Ovis aries: one gene and its partners. The protein of the gene in region 1 purifies or fractionates together with the protein of each later gene. This does not show direct contact. Links are inferred from orthologs where the notes say so. Each region holds a gene or a part of one and is shown on either strand. Other genes may lie near its edges.

Region 1 (2,576 bases):
AAAATCCCTTCACTTGGGATATCTGGTTTTAATTAACAATAATCTTTTGATGCTCAAACTACTTGCCCTTTGTTGCAAAACTTCTATATAACGTGACTCCTCTCCTCACCTCCTCAGAGCAATTCTCTCAGGATCATTTGAGACGGTGTCTCCCGGGCTCGAAGTCCTAAAAATTCCCACCAAATAAAACATAACTCCCAACTTTGAGGTTATGAATATATTTTAAGGCAATAGACTTTAATGCATTTCTAATCCTTTCTTTGGAATAGTGGAAACTTATCATTGCAACAGAAATACATAAAAAATTCAAAGACTGACTCTCTATGGTAGGAATAACATTTGGACCAAAACTCCTATGACTTTCATAATCTGTGATGAAACTTATCTATAATAAGTTCCTAATTACACTTATTGACACAGTTGACCCTCTCATGCATTTTGCTCACTCTGGTGCATCGGTGAGAACACCCACTCTGAATTGCTTTGAACGTCTGGATAGCTACATATGTGAATTTAATTTGTGGAGCATTTAATAAAATTTTCTATAAAAATAAAATATTTCATTTATTAAGATTTTACAGAGAGGCACACAGGAGGACAACAAATCCCTGACGTAGAAGCTGATGATCTGTAAGAAGTCAGACGGTAGTTGAATTCTAAGCTTTGTGTATTCTGATCCAGGGGTTACTGAGGAATACAGCTAATACGATGAAAGATACCAGTAGTAAGCTCTTGGCAACACACTGAGAGTAAGGCTCTCCTGCAAGACAATGAATCAAACTAAGCAACTTTTTTTTTTTGTCATTTTCATCATCATTATTTTATTTTTTAAAACTTTTTATTTTGTATTGGGGTACAGCCTATTAATAATGTTGTGATAGTTTCAGATGAATTGCAAAGGGACTCAGCTATACATACATACATACATGTATATATACATCTATAGATGTATCCATTCTCCCCTAAACTCCCCTCCCATCCAGGCTACTACATGACATTGAGCAGCGTTCTCTGTGCTGTACAGTAGGACCTTGTTGGTTATCCATTTTAAATACAGCAGTGTAAGCAACATTTTTTTGGTCTTGTGAGCATTCTTGGCTGAGCCATACAGCCTATGGGATCTTAGTTCCTTGATCAGGGATCCAGAGATCAAACCCATGCCCTCTACAGTGAATGCACAGAGTCTTAACCCCTGGACCACCAAGGAATATCCAGGAATGTTGTTATTTCTTAACTTTTTGGGTAACTAGGTAGAAATAAGCCAAAACATAAAGAGTGATCATTTCTAAATGGCAACATCAGTACATGTTTTCTTTTTAAAACTTTGCTATATGTTTTAACTTTCCTGTGACATTTATACTTTTTTCAAAAGTTTTTTAATTAACGTAACATAATGATAAACATTTCAGAAAAGGGCTTTACCTACCTCGATAATATTGGGTCAGTGGATACAGAAGTTGTGGCCAACAAACCTCATTTCTGTTACAGTCGTACTCTGTAAAATTGATCTGGAATCTACAGAACATTTTAGAAGGTTATAATAGCTATAACAAAACATGCTTTTGATGAGTTGCATCAAAACCTCATTAAAGGGCTTCCCTGGTGGCTCCAGTGGTAAAGAATCCATCTGTCAATGCAGGAGACGTGGGTTCAACTTCTCACCAGGGAAAGTCCCACGTGCCATGGAACAGCTAAGCCCGTGTGCCACAGCTCCTGAGCCCATGCTCTAGAGCCCGAGAACCGCAGCTACTGAGCCCACGTGCCTAGAGCCTGTGCTCTGTGACAAGAGAAGTCACTGCAATGAGACGCCCGCAAACCAAGACTGCAGAATAGGCCCTGCTCTCGGCAACTAAAAACAGTCCCCAGGGGCAGCAGTGAAGACCCAGCACAGCCAAAAACAAATAAAGAAAGCTATTTTTAAAACCTCATCTAAAACTTGATTAAAGAAGTGAAGCGTTTGTTTGTTTTCTACTTATTCAGCAGCACTACGTGGCATGTGGGATCTTACTCCCCCCACCAGGGATCAAACTCATGCCCCCTGCAGTGGAAGCAGGGAGTATCAACCACTGGATGGCCAGGGAGGTCCCTAAACTTCTTAGTTTTGAACATATATTTTTCTGCTTCCTGATCATGTCACTGAGGTCAGCAAACAGATTACCTTGTAAGGGGACGGGGTAACTGTGCGGGTATCTTAATAAACTGGACCGATGCGCCGATGGGGAAGAGGTCAGCCTTGTCCTCACAAGTCAGTCCACACTGGAACTGCCAGGTCACGGAGGAGAACCTGGGAGGGAAAGGTCACGCAGGCGACAAAGCCCTCGCTCACTTCTGGTCTGCTAAGAACACTGGGTAACTGACACAACAACAACGTGAGCTGGGCTTCTCCTACACACGATTCACGTTTTCCTGGTGCTGCCTTTCCCCCTTTGTAGTGTGTAAATTTTCAAATGCACATACAAGCTGAGACAGCTGTATAATGAACCCTTGTGGACCTATCATAGGCTGCAACAACTACCAGCATTTTACCAGTTCTGCTTCTTCTCCTCTCCCCTGTCATCTCATTTCATACTGGTGCT
Region 2 (4,304 bases), on another chromosome or scaffold:
TGAACTGAACTGAAATCCTATTCATAACTCTGATTATTTTTCCCTTCTACTTTTCTAGAGTTGACAATTATTTTATTTGCTTGCTTAGTTTTCTATGTATTTTTGCAATGTCAACAAACAGCTTCTATTCCAGTTCCTCACAATTTGATGTTTAAAGGTGTATGATTTAGTAAAAATCTTGTTCACTGCAATATTCTAATAGTGAAAAAGTAAAAACAAAAAATCCACCAACAGGAAACTGGTAAATCAATTACAGGTTTCCATATCATGAAATATTTGGCTGTTTAGTCACCAAGTTGTGTCTGGTTCTTCTGTAACCACATGTAGTATATAGCCCACGAGGCTTCTCTGGCCATGGGATTTCCCAGGAAAGAACACTGGACTGGGTTGCTATTTCCTTCTCCAGGGGATCTTCCTGACTCCCAGAGATCAAACCCATGTCTCCTGCATTGGCAGGCGGACTCTTTACCACTGATCCATCAGGGAAGTCCCTAGCAGATCTTAAAATGAAGGTTAATTATAACAAGTCTAGATACATGTACCAAACTGAGCCTTTAATTTCATATGGTTTTTCCAGTAGTCATGTATGGATGTGAGAGTTGGACTGTGAAGAAGGCTGAGTGCCGAAGAATTGATGCTTTTGAACTGTAGTTTTGGAGAAGACTCTTGAGGGTCCCTTGGACTGCAAGGAGATCCAACCAGTCCATCCTGAGGGAGATCAGCCCTGGGATTTCTTTGGAGGGAATGATGCTGAAGCTGAAACTCCAGTACTTTGGCCACCTCATGTGAAGAGTTGACTCATTGGAAAAGACTTTGATACTGGGAGGGATTGGGGGCAGGAGAAGAAGGGGACGACCGAGGATGAGATGGCTGGATGGCATCACAGACTCAATGGACGTGAGTCTGAGTGAACTCTGGGAGTTGGTGATGGACAGGGAGGCCTGGCGTGCTGCGATGCATGGGGTCGCAAAGAGTTGGACATGACTGAGTGACTGAACTGAACTGAACTGAACTGATATGTACCTGTAACTCTATTTTCAATGAGCAGGCATTTTTATAATTATAAACAAATTAAAGTAATCATAAAAAGTAATCATAACCATATTTTGTTGGTGGTTATTCATTTATGGCCAATTACATTAAAAATTTTTTTTCCATTTTATTCAGTTACTGGGATAAAAGTCTGAAATTATTTTTTTTCAGCTACACAAATTGGAATGTAGGCCAATCATCTCAGATATCTAAAGAGATTCAACTTTGGAAGAAGGAAATCCAGAGTTTTCCTACTTCCAAAGGAAAATGCTTTCAGAAAGTGAGTTTAAAGGGGTGACTGTAAAGGAAGCACTCACTTAACTTGAACCAGATACTACAGGACAGGCAGTAAAATGCTTCATTTCAGCCCCAGGAAGCAGCAGCAGGACTGAGCGGCACCTGAAGAGGTGAGCCCAGGGAGGCGGGCCTGGCCAGCAGGACATTCTGGAGGTCAGCTAACCAATCAGCCCGTTGGCTTCGCCGTGACAGTCCGCCTAAAACTGCCTGCCCTTTCTTTGCGGGCAGTGGGCGCACGGACAACGGAGCGGCACAACGGGGTGATTGACCGGAACAGAGGATGAGATGGTTGGATGGCGTCACTGACTCAATGCACAGGAGTTTGAGCAAACTCGGGGAGATGGTGAAGGACAGGGAAGCCTTGCGTGCTGCAGTTTACGGGCTCGCAGAGTGGGGCTTCCCTCAGAGCTCAGTTGGTAAAGAATCTGCCTGCAATGCCAGAGACCTGGGTTTGATTCCTGGGTCGGGAAGATCCCTTGAAGGAGGGCATGACAACCGCCTCCAGTATTCTTGCTGGGAGAATCTCACGGACAGAGAAGCCTGGTTGGCCACAGTCCATGGGGTCGCAAGGGTCAGACACGACTTAGCGACTAAACCACCACCACCACCATAGAGTCGGACACGACTTAGGGAATGAACAACAACGCAACTCACACAGCAAACTCTGCGACCACCATTCCCTCAGGAAGGGCCAGGCCGAAATGTCAGGAATTGTCAGGGGTTGGAGACTCTGCAGAGAGCAGAGACACTGACAGTAGCAGCCAGCTTACCCGGGGTGGGGGACGGCTTGGAGAAGCCGAATGTACCAACAAACAGGCCTCCAGGAAAGGAAACAAGCTCGGGTCTGGGGTTCGTGACTCCTTCAGCCGCACACCGAGTTCCCCGGGACAGGGGCCGGAGCCTCCCGTCAGGCCGCGCCCTCCGCCCATCCCCTCCGCAGCCCAGTCTGCGCAGCCGGGCCCAGGCGGGAAGCACTCACCGAGACAAGCGGGACGCGCAGATGACCCTCCTGCAGCCGGTTGAAGGCGGGGAACGTGCTCCAGGCGAGGAACCCGCCCGGCTCGGATCCTAGCAAGGCCACGAGCAGCACCTGGTGCTGGAAGCGCACGGTTGGCTGCTCCTCGTAACTGCTCCGTTTTAGCCAAAACCCTGAGGTAACGAGAGTGCGGGGTGCAGAGACCCGGGTCAGGGAGGCGGCGCGGGAGCCACGTAGCGCTGCGGGGCGCGCACCGGCCGGGGCGAGGGGGCAGACTCACCGTGGCTCCGGAAGGCCACCAGCAGCGGCGGGATGTACGTGAGCGCGGCGGCCAACAGCAGGAAGAGCGCCGCCTTGGAGCAGAGCCCGGCACGGTAGCCCCGCTCCACTGGATGCGCGTAGAGCTCATAGAGCGCCATGAGGAGCACTCGGGGTCTTGTTCCCTCGGCAGTTCCGGAGCCTCGACCTAGTATGGCTTCTCCTGGTTGCCATAGCCGTGGTCTCCACGGCAACCGACGGCCCAGGGAGAGCGACCAATAGCGAGCAGGCGGGCTTTCCGTGGGGGCGTGGCCAACGGGGCGGGGCCCGCAAGTACACTGTGGTCGCACACTGCTTGCGCGTTCCCAAAGGGTGTTTCCGTGCGCCCAAACCGTGGCCGTTGTTAACAATTTTGTAAAATAAGGTTTTTTCATAAATGTTGACTATTTATTAATAGTCAAATCTATTAATCCCCAATGTGGTTTATTGTACACTTAAGTCTAACCAATCACAGCACACCGTACGTTGGAGGCAAACAAAAAAAAGTGGCCGTGGTCCTAGACACTTGGTCCTGGGTTAAGACCAAACCAGGTCCCTTTGTTTCCAAATTTTCTATCGCTTTCACTATACTCCATAGCAGGGCAGACACGGAAACAGACCTATCTCCCTGCTGTTCGAGGGGAAAAAAAAAGATAATTATTGTATAGCTCTGCTATACTTTGCTATCTTGATTGGGAACAAGCTTTATGCTACTTATTTTAGGAGAAGCCGTGGTCCTCCTCAAAGATAAAGTTACACAGGGAAGCCTGGCGTGCTGCAGTCCATGGGGTCGCAAAGAGTCGGACACAACTGAGCGACTGAACTGAACACTTAATTGAATGCTTCCACCGTCCCATCCCATCTGCTTTCTAGTATTTCAAACATGGCAGAAGAAATTTTTTTTTTTTAAGTAGTCAATAGCCAAGTTCTCCATCAAAAGGCCCTAAAGGATCACATTGCAGTGCCGAGTTAGTGTGAAGTTTGTGCTCAGAATGAGATCCACTCATAAATACTCCTATTTTGAAGGCAACCTAGAAGTGGGGTTTTCTCCTAGATTTATTGAGGTATAATTGACATATAGCACTGTATAAGTTTAAGGTGTACAACATAATGATTTGAGTTACATGCATCATGAAATGATTACCACAATAAATTTGTTGAACATCTCTCATCTCATATAGATTACAAATTAAGGAAATAGAAAAAAATTTTCCCCTGTGATGACAACTCTTAGCATTTACTCTTTCATCTACAAAATAAAGTAGTGTTAATTATATTTATCATGTTGTACATTACCTCCCTAGTACTCATTTATCTTATAACTGGAAGTTTGTATCTTCTGACTGACTTCATCCAACTTTCCCCTCCCTCCACCTTGCCTCGGGTAATCACAAACCTGATCTCTTTTTAATGAGTTCGTTTTTGAAGTATAATTGACCACAACATTAGGTTAGTTCCTGTTATACAATATAGTGATTCAGTATTTCTATACATTTCAAAATGATTACCATGATAAGTTTAGTTATTATAACCTAGAATTGGGTTTTCGATGAAGAGAACAGCTGAGATCCTAGCAAAGAAGAGAGGTCAAGACGTGCCCATATGGGAAAACTATACAATGCCCTTATCACAGTCCGAGATGACAATGTCATCAGCCAGAGAAACCAATTAGAATGGTGAACTGGAAAAAGACATCAGGAAG
Region 3 (3,656 bases), on another chromosome or scaffold:
TAATATGCTGATTAGGTTGGTCATGGCTTTTCTTCCAAGGAGCAAGCATCTTTTAATTTCATGGCTGCAGTCACCATCTGCAGTGATTTTGGAGCCCCAAAAATAAAGTCTCTGACTGTTGCCATTGTTTCCTCATCTATTTACCATGAAGTGATGGGACCAGATACCATGATCTTAGTTTTTTGAATGTTGAGTTTTAAGCCAGCTTTTTCACTCTCCTCTTTCACTTTCATCAAGAACCTCTTTAGTTCCTCTTCACTTTCTACCAAAAGGGTGGTGTCACCTGCATATCCGAGGTTATTATTGTCCATGATCTTAAAAAAGATAATATTCTAAAATGGAAATACTAAAATAGAAAATAAAATGGAAATACTAACATAGAGATAAATAAAACACAAATAAGCTGATGTACAGTAGTTATAAGAAGTGCTCAGTGAGTGGTGGAGTCACTATTGTGGAATGCCAGAAGCAGCAGCCATTGCCGGTTGAAGATGGCTTCATAGAACCGGGATGAGTAATACGTGATGGAGGAAATGGTGTCTAAAGGAAAATTTAGGTAGAGAGATGGCACAACAACTAGAATAGCACATGCCATGAAGGGGCAGTTACTGATTAAGTACAGTTGTCATGTCTCCTACGTGCCAGGTATGTGGGAGGCATTGGCCCTGGGCAGACCACTTGACTGAAGCAATGGATCTGAACGCAGGAACAGTGGAAAGATTAAGGAAGGATGTTTCAGGGTTACATTATGAAGCCCAACTAAGCAGTCTGACTCCAGGACAATTAATTCTAAGATGCAGGAAGGACCGGTGGAAGTGAGGACATAAATCAGGAAGTTACGATAACTTAGCAAAACCAATTATCCTCAAATATGCCTTGCTTTTCTAACTTAACACTTTTTATTTATAGTAAGACTTAGACATAGGCAATAACACGTCTAAACTAGGAAGAGGGGAAGAGACCGTGTTTATGTTCAATTTATTCAGGAACTGTCAAACTCTTTTCAAATTGGCTCTACTATTTTGTAGTCCCACCAGCAATGTCTGAGGGTTCCAATTTCTCCACATTGCTGCCAACTCTTGTTATTATCCATTTTTAAAATTATAGCCATCCCAGTGGGTATGAATTGGTATGTCTTTGTGGTTTTGCATTCCCTTAATGGCTAATGATGTTGACTAATGACCTTTTCATGTGTTTTTTTCCAAATATTTTAGAACACTTTTCCTTTCATTTATTCTATCTATATTAGGAAAATTTTTCCGTGTTATCAAATATTCTACAAAAATGAGATTTAAAAATGTAAATAGTAGGTTTAATAACCATAGAGTAAATTCCGCTATAACCTCAGTCCTGTTCACTAACCATTTCTTAATACTCAGTATGTATCACCCCAAACCATGCTCCCTAGGTATGGCTTTATGAGGTTTAAGAAAACTTAATTTGACTACAGTTGTCCAAGGGCTGCATCAAGTACATGCATCTACTTATCCCCCAAGTCTCACTAAAAGGAAAGAAGTATACAAGGCATAAAGTCATAATAGTGCTGAGAAAGGGAAAGGGGGCACTCTAAAAATAAAATCTAAGAGGAAAGGCCTTCCAAGTCTGAACCAAAATTCAAAAGTTGAAAAAAAAGACTGATAAATCTCACAATATAAAAATCAACTTCTGTGTGGCATAAAAACCATAAACAAAGTCAAAAGACAAATGACAAACTGGGAAATAATATCTATAAATCACATAACAGAAAAGAGACAATTTCTCACATACTCAAAGATCTTCTACAAGTCATAAGGCTAGTAATTCAATAAAAATGGCTAGTAATTCAATAAAAAGATATTAATAAATCATAGTGAAGAAAATAAGAATTATTCAAGTGTATGTCAAGATACTCAACCTTACTCAGAATAGGAGAAAAAGAAAACTACAATGGGATATTAATTTTCACTTATCAGATAAGCAAAGATTAAAAGCTTGATAACCCAGAATTGAGGGTATGGGTAACAAGCCATCCCATAGATGGATAGTGGGGCTGTAAATAGGTACAACCTGTATGGGAAATAAATTTGCAATATATATTAAAAATGTAAATGCATATACCTTTGGATCTAGCAATTCTAAGATTTTTCATATAGGCTTATTTTCACATGTACAAAATTGTGCCTGAACCAGGTTATAAAATGCCACACTGTGTATAATAGCAAAAGGCTGAAAACAACCTGAATGTTCTGCCTAAATAATTTATGGTTTATCCATATAATGGAATAAAATGCAACTATACCATGCAAAGGATGAGGAAGCTTATTATATACTGATATGGAATAACCTCTCAAGATCAAGTGAAAAAAGCAAAGTGCAGAGCAGTATTTATGATCTTATATCATTTGGATTAAAAAAAAAAAGATGAGTATTTTCTTGTGTAAGCATGTAATATCTCTGGAAGGAAAGAAAGTAATAACTCTGCCTCTGTGGAAGGGAAGAGCTATCTTGAGAAAGAGTTTTATTTTTGTACTTTTGGAATTTTGAGCCAAGCATATGTATTACTTACACAAGAAATAAAAAGCTTAAGTGAAAGGAAATAAAATTAAAGATACAGTTGATTAAAGCCAGGAGGGAAAGTGAAAGTACAGTCCATGGAATTCTCCAGGCTAGAGGGGGCAAAAGAGGAAGTAGATTTCTTTCTTTTGCTCTGACACACAGATTTCGCTATTTCACTTAGACTGGAATCAAGAGGTACACCGGCCGAGCGCTGATGTGGCCACCGGAAAGAATAAAAACAGAAAAGAGCTGAATGAGATTTCGTCAGGGGTAGTGGGTATTGAGGCTTTTATTTTTCATTAATACTATTCTCTAGACCTTCTACCTTGAGATTTTTCTCTAAGTAAGGAAAGTTTTATATACATATATAACTACACACACACCTGACCTGAAATGATGACTTCAGATGGCCATGATTTCTTACAGTCTTTCTTTTAGGACAACCACATTATCTTTCTTCTGTGACAACCAAACCAACTATGGAAACAGGTCTGGTTTTAATCTTAATAAATAAAGGAGGAAAGTAAGCTTTTGTCAGAATGTGTATTTCTTTCCTTACTGAAACATTGTAGTTCCTGCTGAGGATCTCGGTCCACTCTCCCTTCTGGGCTGGGTCAGCATTTCCAAAGATGGCAATGTGCTCTGGTCTGGGACTTCCATGAAGAGCCTGATAAATCTCCTGCTGCAAGTGGCTGCAGTCCACCCTTTTCAGCCTAAAATCAAACACCTCGGAGTCTGGAGTCCAGTGCTAACATCATAATGTAATTCATTCAAACATTAGAAATAATACCAAAAAATAAACTGTGGGAAATAATCCTTCATAGGTATAAAAGACTCAAAAAAAAAAAAAAAAAAAAAACACCTCTTAGCAACATTAATATTATTTAAAGACTATTCCTAACATTCTCTGAACTCTAATTCAAAATATAAAAGTTGCCACATCACATATTCCCTACAGGTAGAGACAAATTTGCTAGAAATGATGTGGAAGCAAAGAATTACCTGAGCTTGCATCCAGATATTGCATTCACTCCAAATTGTACTTCGTGTCTCTTAACAGAGCAAGTGCCATCACCCTGGCTCTGTAAGAGGGTCATCTGAGGTGGAAAGGGATGGTCAAG

What was found.
Region 2: the proteins of TCTN2 (region 1) and TMEM231 purify together in Homo sapiens (affinity purification with mass spectrometry; 3 studies listed by BioGRID and IntAct, counting the BioPlex papers as one, with this or other methods). This does not show direct contact. The link is inferred for Ovis aries from reciprocal best matches to the Homo sapiens genes TCTN2 and TMEM231.
Region 3: the proteins of TCTN2 (region 1) and TCTN3 purify together in Homo sapiens (affinity purification with mass spectrometry; 3 studies listed by BioGRID and IntAct, with this or other methods). This does not show direct contact. The link is inferred for Ovis aries from reciprocal best matches to the Homo sapiens genes TCTN2 and TCTN3.

What each region holds. Positions count from the first base shown.
Region 1 is NC_056070.1:52,039,933-52,042,508, forward strand, and holds the end of TCTN2 (tectonic-2), read right to left. Parts: intron 2,285-2,576; coding exon 2,159-2,284; intron 1,516-2,158; coding exon 1,427-1,515; intron 761-1,426; coding exon 657-760; 3' UTR 539-656; downstream 1-538.
Region 2 is NC_056067.1:2,346,246-2,350,549, forward strand, and holds the start of TMEM231 (transmembrane protein 231), read right to left. Parts: upstream 2,811-4,304; 5' UTR 2,725-2,810; coding exon 2,586-2,724; intron 2,479-2,585; coding exon 2,309-2,478; intron 1-2,308. UniProt on the Homo sapiens protein: Transmembrane component of the tectonic-like complex, a complex localized at the transition zone of primary cilia and acting as a barrier that prevents diffusion of transmembrane proteins between the cilia and plasma membranes.
Region 3 is NC_056075.1:16,989,451-16,993,106, forward strand, and holds part of TCTN3 (tectonic-3), read right to left. Parts: intron 3,633-3,656; coding exon 3,538-3,632; intron 3,249-3,537; coding exon 3,095-3,248; intron 1-3,094.